Linked DNA regions of Nothobranchius furzeri. The protein of the gene in region 2 binds, or shares a complex with, the protein of the main gene of each other region. Links are inferred from orthologs where the notes say so. Each region holds a gene or a part of one and is shown on either strand. Other genes may lie near its edges.

Region 1 (4,351 bases), on a different chromosome or scaffold from region 2:
GTACAATGTCTCTAATAATCAAGTGCAACTTTTCAGCTCCTTGAAGACAACAGCCAATATTGAAGCTATGAAGTCAATCCCCACAGAGAGACTCTTGATAGAAACTGGTGAGTTATGGGTTATTGATTTATTTGGTTTTTTTATTTATTTAGCCATTTGACAAAATGGACCAATGTCTTTGATGTGCTCTGATCTCCAAAACCTCCAAACTTTCTGTTGGTATAAGAAGTTTTTCTTCCATTTGTATTACTTGACCTTGTTGGGTAATGGAATTTCCACCCCGTGAGTACAAACTAGTGCGTTTTTTTGCATTTTGCCTTTTTCTCTTTCTCCAGATGCCCCATGGTGTGGTGTGAAGAACACTCATGTGGGCTCCAAATATGTTAAAACCACATTTCCAACAAAGAAGAAATGGGAGGCAGGGCATTGTTTGAAGGATAGAAATGAGCCCTGTCACATCGTGTGAGTACTGCTAGGGATTAGCAAAATTAAAAATAAAAATAAATCATTGTTCATGCATTTTAATTCCATCGTTCTCTTATTTTGTTTTTAATAGACAAGTTCTTGAGGTGATGGCAGGTACAAGAGATGAAGACCCACTTGAGCTGGCCAACACTATCTACAACAACACCATCAAAGTTTTCTTTAGCTCCAGCTGAAAACAGTTGATATTGTTATGGCATTATATTGTCTTATGAATGCTTGTTTGTTTGCACGTGCCTAAAGAAAAGGTTTATAGATTCAGTATGGTCATTTGCAAATATAAAGTATCTTCCAATGTATCCTATTTGTAATTTTTAAAGTTAATAGTAAAGAAAGTAAGATTTTTCCAGGAAATTTATCTAATTTTTTTCAGTTTTTCTCCTTTTTAAAAGGCCCAAAGAAGGATGCAGTCTGTTTACAATCCGTCCTGCCTCTATCCTTCCTGGTTCCAGATCCAATCATATGTGAGCTAGCAAAGTTGCCAAGTCTTCAAACAGTGAGCCCACATTTGTAGTTGCAGCACCAACTGGCAAAAAGCAGCAGTGTTGTGGAAATCATGTTAGCCAGTAAAAGGAGTGCCCCAGTAATTAGTTATAACCCTAAGAAGCCACAGCAACCTTTTTGTTTTACTCTAATATCGGGTAAAAAAAATAAATAAAAAAGGCTGGAGGCTAATGTTGAGCTAACTGCTAATGGTGCATTAGAAAATTATTATCTGTTCTGACCATCGACATATACATATAGGTCCTGACAATATCTTAAGCTGATTTTCAATTACTAACAACTCTGTATGACAGTGAAATGTATTTATAAGCTAATCATCTTACTGTGCATGACTTGCCATCTAGAATATTCCGTTGCTGATCAATAACTGGCAACCATCGTCCCTTTTTTTTTAGCTTTTTTGTGTTTTGTAAAAAAAAATACACTGAAACACATAAAAACATCTTTAATTTATTCATAGTAAGAGTTATTATTATACATTCATCCTGTTGTTCAGTAAAAAAAAAAAGAGGAAGCACGTGGGTCTCGTTGCGTCAGCCGTCACACCCACCGACGACGAGTTGTACGTCACGTTACGTCACATCTGAATCACCCAACAACTTTGTGTTCTTCGTAAAGCCAGAGCTATAGGAAATGAGTGTGTTGTCGTTGTTTCCATGTTTTTGGTGACATTAACCAGCGCAGGATCGGATGGAGCGTTTTGAATTTTAATGGCGAAATGACTCCGGATGTGAGCTGGAGCGTCACATTTAACAAACTGAAGAAGCAACAGGAGGGTTGAGCTGGAAGAATATGGCGAGCCGCGACAGGTCGCTAGCTGTTAAATAACCGTCAGGACCAAACAAAATAACACGACACTTGGTGGACTTGAACATGTGTTAAAGTGGCACGGATATCCGGGACTGACCAGGACTGTAAAACCTCAGCTGAAGCCGTATGGCGACCACCCAAGCCCGCATAGGCCAGCAGGCCTTAGCGCTGCTGGATGTGGCGCTGCGAGTTCCCTGTATCTTCATTATCGACGCTATGTTTAACTCTTACTACGACCCTGGATCGGGATGGGCAGGGGTGATGGGAAAGGTGTTGGTCAGAGTTATAGGTAAGTTGTTTTAGGCGCAGATTTCAAACCAAGAGCTTTCGGTTTGTCAACAAGCAAGTTGTTAAAGCTAAGCTAATGCTATCAGAGCTTTCCACCTGTCGGGAACTAAAGCCGATTTAATTATCAGCACGAACATACATTCAAGACACATTTTTCAAACAATTGTTACTGAGTTTGTTTTGCACTTTTTCTTGAGCTTTTTACACTTCAAACCCCCCGTTCAGGTTGTTTATCGCTAACGTTCATTAGCCGGTCACCGGTGTTGTGTCATGTTTTGCGTACCTGCTTGAAACTGGCGGAAAGTTCAAAAATGCCTGAAGGAAAATAGTTTTACTCTAGCTTTATTCAGACGTGTTTTGTAATATTAAAACTTAATGTGGGCGTTGTGAGTATGCATTAGTACAACATTTGTCTTTACGCTCTTTTTTTGGCGTTAGGAGGCAGATTATATAACTTTAGTAGTTTGTGGACTTTTGAACGGTTCATGACTTCTGCAGAGATCAAAGAGCTCTAGGTAAGAGATGCAAGCGATTATATATATATATATATATATATATATATATATATATATATATATATATATATATATAAACAAACTTAGCACCAAGTCAGATTAATCTAAATTGGAATTACAAACCTGCTTCAATGTGAAACTATAGATAATTGAAAAAAGTTTCAACAAGGTTTGACCCCTTTTAGTCACTGAAGTCGTTTTATCAGATTGTTGAATGACGCCATTGTTCTCGAATCTTATTGATTAAAACCAAACATGAAAGGACAAAGTTCAAAGATTAATGTAAGGGGAATCTGAAAGGAGTGGTGATTACATACATTAAATGTGGATATTTAGGTCAGAGTCATTTACTTCAAATGTAAAATCTACATAAAGCCCAATCAATTAAACATTTAACCAAATCAGTAAACTATTCAAACTTCGGCAACAGCACCAGACTGCCTGCAGATGTGCCTGACTTTAAATTGGTTTTACTAAAGAATTACCGTAAATCCTCTAATACAGGCCCGGGTCTGTATTTGACTCAAGCTCATCAAGCTCCAGGCCTTTATTGGAAGGAGGACCAGAATTAGAGGCAGGCCTCAATTTCTATTTGAGCAAAATGAACTAATGGTTCGCTGGAGTTTTTGACAATTAAAATTGCGCCCACATTTTCAAAGTTAAACACATTTCTTTTAACAACGGTAGTTTCTGCTTCAGCCCCCCCCCCCCCTGCACAGCTGCCGCAAACTCACTGATGCGCCTGCAGCCTCTCGGAGTTCCTGCTGCTCTAAACATTAAAATAATTATTTCATTTTCTGTTCCTCACTTCTGATTACCTTCAATGGTGTCTGTTTGTTGCAACCACCAGGTACAAAAACTAACTTGTTTTTATTTGACTATTTTTCTGTCCTGTCTGTTTATTATCTTCCTGCATCTCCTCTCAATCCTAAAGAGAAACTGCTACCTGGGTTCATATATATTCACCTTATGAGTTACCTTTGAACTGCAGTTCTAAAAGATCTACCGACCGCAAAAACAGCGGAGTGCTCGCTGGCCACATCAGTGAGGTGCGTCACCGAGGACAAAACAGGTGATGCGCCCCGATCCACAGCAGCGAAAGGCATCAGGCACAAATAAAAGCATAAAAGACAGAAAACATAAAAGGAAATGAGCCGACATGAACGATCGCGTGTTAAATTAGTTTTTGAGGTGGCGACACCTGATTTGATAATGTTACTGTGGCCGTGCTCAGGACGCAGATGTCTGGAGCGCGTCAACAATCAGAGCTTTGCATGCGCAAGCTGGTTAAGGTTAGGATGGGGGTGAGGGGAAGGTTAAATTGCAAGAGGGTAAAGGTCACAACTTGGTTAAATGTCCATTTTATGGCGGGTGTCAGTACCGACGCTCTGGCACAGCGCGTTGCCTCCCGATGCGCAGGAGCTTGTCACCTGCTGACAGCAGGCTGCTGTCTTTTCCGTGGACTGCATCTTGCCGGTCATTATCACGTGACAGCGACTAGTCGATGACAGGCATAAAAAGTCACTATAGAGCGGTGAAGTCGACTAGTGACTAGTTCATACAACCCCTGCTACTGCTCCCCAGAGTGTTCTGCAGCATAATCAGCACGTTCTCTTTGAACTTGATATCAAATTTTCGCCTCCTCTTCGTCTCCGCATGGTTAAATTTACCCTCGCAGTCTATCACTGGCAAATCAAAAGTGAGACGGATGACACAACCGCCTCCCGTACTTGCTTGTTACCACATTCCAC
Region 2 (4,263 bases):
ACCCAGAAAGTTTTGAAAGATTTAATCTAAAAGCTCCACAGCTTTTAAATAAAATAAAACAATACATTTGAGTTGTGGACATCCTGTCAAATTATAAAGTTTTTTATGCGACACGAATCAGAGATAAGCTTCATGGAGCCTCTTGTCAAAGTAAATATAGTACTAAATCTCTAAAGCTAAGACTTATCTTTATTTACTAAAATGCAGCAGCACGCCTATTGACGGGTTCGAGAAAGAGGGAGCACATCACCCCAATTTTAGCTTCGCTGCACTGGCTGCCTGTGGTTTATAGGGTCCAGTACAAGGTTCTTTTATTGGCTTTTAGAGCTGTACATGGCCTTGCTCCGCAGTATCTGTGTGAGCTTTTAGTAACTTTCTCCCCGTCTCGGTCACTGAGGTCAGCCGACCAGTTTCTCCTGGAGGTGCCGAGAACAAAGAGAAAGCTCAGGGGTGATAGAGCTTTCTCAGTAGCAGCTCCAAGGTTGTGGAATGCACTCCCGATTCAGATTAGGATGGTTTCATCACTGTCGGGTTTTAAATCCCTCTTAAAGACTCATCTGTTCTCAGTTGCTTTTAATTCAGTTTGAGAATGCATCTGTTTTTAGTAGCTTTTATGTCAGTTTGATATGTTTGTTTTATCATGATTTTACCTTGTGATTAACTTTTTATCTTGTTTTTAGAATTTTTGAGGAAATTCTGTTCATTTTGTCTTGTTAAGCACTTTGGTCAGCTTTTATGCTGTTATAAAGTGCTATATAAATAAAGATGACTTGACTTACTCCATCCACCACACACACCATGAATAAAGACATGCTGCATTTTTCCTCCAGAGTGGTTTCTACTGCCATTGCATGCTACACACCACTTAAGACACACAGCTCTTTCAGAGATCCAAAAGGTGTGGGCACATTCCCGCTAAAGGAAATATCCAAATTTAACTGATCACGCCTGGGGGGAAAAAACCAGCTTTCATGCTGCTTCCTTTCAAAGAAGACAGGGGTTATTTACATGAAGGTGAAAAAGCACGGAGGCAGAGGTTTTGCATACATGCCGACTCGGGCATTTGATCACTTGGTAATTTCTGTTTCTCACAGAGAAACAATTTTAATACAATTCACAAACAAAAAAAAAAAAAGATTTTTAAGGTCTGCTTCCCCAAGAAACTGTTTAAAATTGTTCTTTCAGAAAGGCGATTGGTCACTCATGCATGCTGAATGTGAAAATGTTCTCCAATCCCCATCATCTGCATTTGTCACAGAAAAGAAAGAGACATGAAATGATCTGATAGGAAAAGGCAGATTGCTTCTATGTCACAGAGAAAATTAGTGTTTGTGACCCGGCCCACATTGGCTTACACAAGAAGGAAACAGCGGACAGCATCTCGCCTAGTATAAGCTAACCACTAGCAACTCAACATGGGAGAACACAATCAGGTGTGTGTTATTTGTGGAGATAAAACACCAATGTTGCTTTTTTTTTACCCAAGAAAGAAAAAGCGAACAAAGGCAGAAGAAAAGCTGTGGTGCCGTTAGCCAATCAGAGGCGAGATGTTCGCATATCATGAATAATAATGAACAAGACCCTCTCGTCCCACTCTTCTGCCAAACTTCCAACCCCAAAACAGGAACACCAAAACCTCTCTCCACAGAAAACGACTTGCAAGGCATGTTGGAAAATCACTCCTCCGACAAACTTCTACTTCCTGTAACAGGAGCGTCAGATCATTTCCATAGAAAACGACTCACTAAGATTTATTAATAGAAACCACGGCAGATTAATAGAAAAAAATGAATGGATGAGACCTTTAAAGGAATATTTTTGCGCAAAAGCTTTGAATCAAGCATCAATCTGTCTGTCTCTGTTGTTTCTCCATTAGCTATGCTAATGGGCAGCTTTGATCAACCCTGATTGAAGAGCTCCGTCTGGAGCTACGGCAGGCCTGCACTTTTTCAACTGTTGCCACGTTTTCAGCATTTCTGATCTTTGAGATTCTCTAAATCAACTACTCATAAATGATGCTTGTTTGGAAAGAGCATCATACCGCCTAAAAACATGTGACAACTGATAACTCGATGTCACTTGTGGAAATCACCCTTTCCACAAACATCCCTCCCTGCTTGAGAACAAACTGAACACTGATATCTATACATGAGCTCCGACGTTGTTTGAAATCTGTGCCTTGAGGGCAGTTCGCCTCACATCAAACACAAATGTCCGTTCCGCTTCCCCACGCCAACTCAATCTCAGCTCGTCTCACGTCCGCTGAGCTAACAGACGGAGTTGCTGCTGCAGCGTTTGCTGCTGTTGCATGGCATTAGTAGTGTTTTATTCATGATCCTACTTAATCATTTTCCTGTCTGTGATGTCACTAAGCTGTACAAGCCAACATGTCAAGCATGCCCCAACACAGCAGCCCCCGTGTCAGTCACAACACCACTGTACCTGCTGATGGGAGACCAGGTTGTCTCTCGGGATGCCACCTGTTTACGTCCTCTGAAGGCAGCAGTGCAGGGGTTTTTTAGCCTAACTTGTGCATTACAGTTGACATAGTGTTCCCTTCTTGGCTCAGGCAGAGTGCACGACTGCTTGGCTTGTCCTCCCGGGAGCGACGGAAACATTCCCTGGGAGGAACTCTCCTCAGGAGTCTCTTGATCTGCTGTTATAAATATGCTTTACAGTAAACAAAGCTACAACAAGCGTCCACAAAGACTTCACAAAGGTTGTTTGAAGTCAAGCCTTTTCAGTGCCGGCGCCTCTGACCCAGGTTCTTGCCTCGCTCACGGTTTAGCCGAGCATTCGTTTAAAAAACTCTGGATGAAAGTCTCCATCTCTGGTCTGTTTGTCCAGTTTGCTGTACTCTCCAGGGTTATGTGGGTGCAGCTGGAAGGCCTGATTTGGCAAAGGATCAGCAGCATCTCCGTCAGTAAACTAATCTGGGATTGAACTGATCGGAAACTCAACGAACAGGATAGAGGTCTTGAGGCCACCTCCCATTGATTCCCTCCTCCTCCCGTGGTCACACACTTCAGTCTTTCATGCATTAAAAGCATAGCAAGGTTGGAGGAGTCTTACAGCACTTCTCAATCGGAGCGGAAAATGAACAGCAGCCAAGAATTTAGTGTTTGTACGCAGCAGCCACAGTGCGGTGAATCTGAGCTCCTTTCAGCCATTCTGGCAGGTGATCAGTGACCATTCGGGAAAATCTATTCTTGTGGGATTTGTTGGCCCACTGTGGATGAGGGCGAAAAAAAGAGCAGTCCCATAGAAACCTAGCTTACTTAAAAATACATTTTCAAGATAGCAAGAATGATATAAGATAAATAAGAAAGCAAGAATGAGAAATTTGGAGCAAAAAAGAAATACAACCCCAAAAGCAAAAGGCTTACCTCTTTTCAGTTTTTGCTAAAATACCAAACTTGAAAGCCTCTCCAGGCTTCACAGATCCCAGAGACATTATCAGCGTAGCGGAGCCAAAAACCACTATCTCAAAACATTCCACAGATCTTTAGACTGCATCCATTCTTCTTAGTGTAACTGCTTCAAAACCCAGCGACACAGTTACATAACGATGAAGCACGTGCTGCTAATCTGTAGATATTAGTACAGTTGTAAAAGCAGCACCAACCTCACTTTGAATGAACTTGTAACTGTCATTTACAACCAGAGCCAATGACAGAACAGAGAAAACTTCTGTTAATCAGTAACCGTGTTGTAATAACTAAAGATGGCTGGCTCTTTCCACAAGACTTCCTCCTTTCTGACCAAATATTTCAATGAGACAGAAAAAGCCACAGTTTATGCCTATCACAGTGAGTGTGCAGATGCAAGGAAGTACATAGTCTTTTGCTATTCATAAATGTCACCCCCCTGTGCATTTACGATCTAAACCATAAAATAGATTTTCCCAAGATGCAAAGCACAAATAGGGATGGTGGGGCTGATGCAACCATGTTGCAACATCACCTCTCAAGTAACAAACAACGGTAAGCATGACAGACATGCCCAGATCAAAACCATCAAGAGCCACTTTTATTCACACATGCGAAATCGATCATAACAGAGCATCCCAACGGTTTCTACATTTTTCCTCTATTTTGTGGTAAAAATCCAACAGTTAAACTTTTAAAATGAGGGAAACGATCTATCTAGAGAATATAAATCAATTAAATGTTTAATTTATAGCACTTAGTTTCTGCAGTTTAGCAAATAGTTAGCAACAAAAGAGAATGTTATACAACACAGGTTTTTTTGACTCGAGCACAT
Region 3 (4,205 bases), on a different chromosome or scaffold from region 2:
CTTTTATTTTATCTATCAGTGATGTCAGCATAATCTTGTAGATTAAAAACGTATGTACTTGTGTGATATAATCTTCTAATGCTGACTCTGTCCCCCATCTCAGACTCAGGCTACAAACACACAACATGACAGCTTCTAGAAACAGGATGAGGTGCTTTCCCTTTTCAGTAACAGCAAAAGGTTGGTCATTATATGCCTGCCCTAAATGAACTGGTATGGAAATGAAACCATAGATAGACAACATCTGTATCATCTCCACTTGAACTCATCAGGCAGTGGGGTCAAATTAGGTGCTGTTAGAACATTAGTTTTATTAAACATTTATTTTACATGAAATACATGAGATTAATAATCTCTTGTGTCCCCGTCCCATTGGGAACACTTAAAAAAAGAACTAGGGTTAAAACAATCTAAAAAAACTGAAGTTTTCAACAAAATTCTGTAAGCTAAGTTTTTCGAAAAACCTGTGTGATAAATTAATTCTTTCATCTCAATGACAGGAGCCAATATTGTATACTTGTATAGCGCCTTTCAGACTCTGAGGACCTCATTATTATTATTATTATTATTATTATTATTATTATTATTATTATTATTATTATTAACAATCCAGTAATATTATTATTATTAGTAGTAGTAGTAGTAGTACTTGTACTACTACTACTACTACTACTACCACTACAACTATTAATAATAATAATAATAGTATTAATATTGATAATAATAATAATTAATAATAATAAATTAGTCATCCAAATAATGTTTGTGTTGACGTTGGTGAAACATGCATTACTTGTAGAAAATAAGCTTTTGTTTCTGTCCATAATTGTTTTGAAACTCCACCAAATCCTGATTAATTTGATTATTCTTAATATTTTTCAAGTTCAAGACAACCTGTGAGTTTTCCAAACGCAAATTCTGGTTACATAAGCGTTTTTTGGGGGATATTTTCAGTCATTCGATCCGAGCAGTTGGACTTTTGAATGAAAATGCTAGGGCAGCCCACTCGTTGATTGGTCCCAGTCACGTGACCCGATGCTGTGCTTGAACCATTCAAGTTGAATGATTCAGTAAACACTCAGATTAATACCTACAAGGAGTAGATAGCTGCTTCTCTAATTCTTGCTACTTTTTACATTAATAATTTTATCATGAGTGTTTTATTAGTTCTTATATTTGCTTATCTCTTAATTAATTTTTTTCTATCTTACCTTCTTCACCAAAATACCGCAGCAATTTCCTAATGTTGTGACTTGGCACACATATGGCAATAAAAACTTCTGATTCTGAGCGTGTAACTTTGATCACGTGATATGTCAACGATATTTTTTATAGGGATTACGTCACGGATCTCGATGTTGATTGGTTTCTGGAACTCAGTCCCGGAAGTAGCTAGAAGCGGAGACAGAAGCTTCTATTTAAAGGGGGATATATACTGGTGTAGTTTCTCCACGTGAACAGCTTCAAATGTCTCCTGGAGAGTGTCGCTGCGTTCAGCCCACCCCCTAACCCTCAGCCATTATAAGGTAAGGAGGTTTGACTTTAACCCGTTTTCCAGGACGGACCTCAGCTAGCTCACATGTACCAAACTAAGCCTCAGCTAGCTTTACCTCCACTTGTTCCCTAACTTACTTTTATTTAAGTGACGTGTTTAGTCATTTATTTAGTGCTGCAGCAGTTTGGTTCATGGGAGCAAGTGTTGCTGACAGGCTGAGGTCAAACACGCGATGACAGCATTTCCGGTTCTAGGGAAAAGTCCAAATCTCCTTCTGCGTCTCCTGACCTCTGCCCTGGACCTCATCTGAAAGTGTTAGAAGGCCGAAGAAGAAACCTGTGAGATTTAGGGGGAGAGGACAGACTAACGTGCATCTGTTTACGGCCGACCTTCGTCCGGTGTTGCGGTTTAACGTGGGACATTAATAAAGAGTCGGTGACCTTCCGGTAGCGTGGGTGGTCGCTGTTCTCTTGTTTACTGATCAAACCTGGAGAGTTTCAGCTCCAGCGTCTGACTCCTGTTATTATTTTAACTGCAACGTTTCCAGTCAGTCTGGTGTCTTCTGTTGTAATAATAATAATAATAATAATAGTAATAGTAATACTACTACTAATAATAATAATGTGTGTACTAGGTATTTATTATGACACATTTTCTTGGAGAGACCGTGAAACGTACTCGGTAAAATTTGGTACAGCAGGCCGACAGTTGTGTGTTTATGGGAAAACCGTTTGTGTTTCGTTTCTGTGGTCCTGCTGAAAAGTGCAGAGCTCCACATGCCACCTTTCTGTGTGCTAGACAGGACCCGCAGCAGTGTTTAGTTTGTGTGTTTTTCCTATTTGTCTGGAAAGGACACTGTAGTGGTGGTTCCTTTGTTTGTCAACTCACTTCATATTTTCCAACTTTAAAAGCCGCTGCTGCACTGTGGTAACGTTTCGTACGCTGGCAGAAGTTGTTCAGGGTCCAAACTTGAAAGCTGCGTTTTCTTCAAGGTTTATTTTCCAGGTTGGCAACACAGATCCTGTTTTCCATTGTTTCCTGCTGCTTCTCCTGCTCTGGTAAAAAACCATACGCACACCCCAGTGCATGCTGGTCCTATACCAGTGCCTCCTTATACAAAATACCCAGTGATTGTTTTCCTGACTGACTTACAAAGGTAAACAACAAAACAAACTACAAAAATAAACAACTATTAATCCACGAATAAACTTTATAAATGCTTAAAAAAATAAAGTGAACTAATCACAAATTTAAAGAAAATACACAACAATAACACATAAGGAGCTCCAGCAGACACTAAACTCTTCTAAAAGGAGCTCATGCACTTTTTTGTTTGTTTTCCCGGTTCAGTCTCACGGATGTCCCTGACTGACAACCATGAGCAACAGTGATCGGCGGCAGCGGCCGGGGTCCAAAGAGTCACACCGGTGCTCCTGGGGACCGTATATCTCAGCCATCACCAACAGGTAAGCCTTCAGAGTTGCTGGGTGGGTCTGTAATGCCCTGTTAGTACTGACTTACCAACATCACAGCATTTACATAGTTGGATTCTTCTAGTGAGAACCCTGAAGAGCCCGTTTTACAGTTGAATAACTCTGATCTACAACAGTGGGGTGTAACGTGTTTGTAGCATAAACTGTACCAAACACTGTGCCCTAAACAGATTAAAATTTACTTCACAATAAAAACAAAATGTCCTTCACTTTGCTATCCAGGACCACCAACTTGTTTATACGAGGGGGCATGCTGTTCTCTGTGGGCGTCTTCCTGGCTCTTGTGCTGAACTTACTTCAGGTGCAGAGAAATGTCACTCTTTTCCCTCCAGATGTCATCAGCAGCATCTTCTCCTCAGCATGGTGGGTGCCGCCCTGCTGTGGCACAGCCTCAGGTGTGTAAAAAGAAAAAAAGGCTTTAGCGTAGATGAGAGCAACACATCTAAGTATTTCGGCCCTGAGCAGTGCTCCCACCCCTGCTGGGAGAACTGAACCCTCCCTGTGAACGAGAAACCGATCATATCAGAGCCACATCCCTCATTTTAGCGTCCCCTTCTCTTTAGGGAAGTTAACAGCAACTTTTCAAACATTTGCATAGAAGCAGCAACATGATGACCCCCCCCCAACACACACACATGCACAAAGGTGGCAGATCCATTTGAGAAACACTGGACTGATATCACACCCCCTGCACTCTAGAGGGGAGGAATCCTCACCACCTAGTGACATTGTGGGATGGGGCTCAGGACTGGATTCGTGAATGTGATCTGTCCCCTGGGCAGGTCTCAGGCTGTTAGAAGGTCTCCATCAGCCACACTTGTAGAAGCTTGCAATAGCATAGCTGGTATGCATACACACATTTCCCTGTGGGATGTGTAACATGCCCGTCGGGCTTCAACACACGCACGCACGCACACACACACACACACACTGTGGAACTGAAGCAGTACTGTGCTTTGAGGCCCCAGCGAGGGCATCAGCATTGTGTTGACAGTGCTAAAGTCCGTTTAAACCCGCATTCGTTGAGTAGAGGTCACCCAGATGTAAGCTTTGCTGCAACTCCTAACACACTTCCTGATGCTAATTATCAGTATGTGCAGTAATCTTGGGACCAGTTCAATGGTAGGTAGCAGGATGACACACTCACTCTAAACTGATGGAAAAAATAATTAATCTTATTCTGATTTACACAACTGACCTCTTGTTAAAGTCTCATC

What was found. The genes of interacting proteins can lie anywhere in the genome.
Region 1: scap (region 2) and rnf139 share a complex: the UniProt entries of both Homo sapiens proteins name them as parts of the SCAP-SREBP complex. The link is inferred for Nothobranchius furzeri from reciprocal best matches to the Homo sapiens genes SCAP and RNF139.
Region 3: the proteins of scap (region 2) and insig2 are in contact, whole or in part, in a cryo-EM structure (PDB 7ETW), measured with the Homo sapiens proteins. The link is inferred for Nothobranchius furzeri from reciprocal best matches to the Homo sapiens genes SCAP and INSIG2. Residues at the interface, in NP_036367.2 of Homo sapiens: Pro200, Ser206, Val282, Ala283, Glu284, Ile286, Pro287, Thr290, Ile294, Ala297, Tyr298, Phe301, Lys305, Tyr351, Val354, Val355, Glu359, Thr409, Leu410, Val411, Ser638, Tyr639; in NP_001308258.1 of Homo sapiens: Phe41, Val45, Leu48, Leu49, Ile51, Val55, Leu57, Phe58, Pro59, Val62, Ser65, Ile66, Glu104, Trp105, Ser106, Met109, Arg110, Val112, Ala113, Val114, Val116, Gly117, His120, Gln132.

Annotation. Positions count from the first base shown.
Region 1 is NC_091759.1:12,644,746-12,649,096, reverse strand, and holds the start of rnf139 (E3 ubiquitin-protein ligase RNF139), read left to right. Parts: upstream 1-1,510; 5' UTR 1,511-1,923; coding exon 1,924-2,086; intron 2,087-4,351. Other genes in the region: deoxyribonuclease TATDN1, read left to right, coding at 37-107, 336-462, 557-659. UniProt on the Homo sapiens protein: E3-ubiquitin ligase; acts as a negative regulator of cell proliferation through mechanisms involving G2/M arrest and cell death.
Region 2 is NC_091745.1:65,124,498-65,128,760, reverse strand, and holds the start of scap (sterol regulatory element-binding protein cleavage-activating protein), read right to left. Parts: upstream 2,847-4,263; 5' UTR 2,619-2,846; coding exon 2,443-2,618; intron 1-2,442. UniProt on the Homo sapiens protein: Escort protein required for cholesterol as well as lipid homeostasis.
Region 3 is NC_091754.1:36,998,947-37,003,151, reverse strand, and holds the start of insig2 (insulin-induced gene 2 protein), read left to right. Parts: upstream 1-1,364; 5' UTR 1,365-1,526; intron 1,527-2,522; exon of another isoform or gene 2,523-2,651; intron 2,652-2,845; 5' UTR 2,846-2,872; coding exon 2,873-2,961; intron 2,962-3,210; coding exon 3,211-3,383; intron 3,384-4,205. UniProt on the Homo sapiens protein: Oxysterol-binding protein that mediates feedback control of cholesterol synthesis by controlling both endoplasmic reticulum to Golgi transport of SCAP and degradation of HMGCR.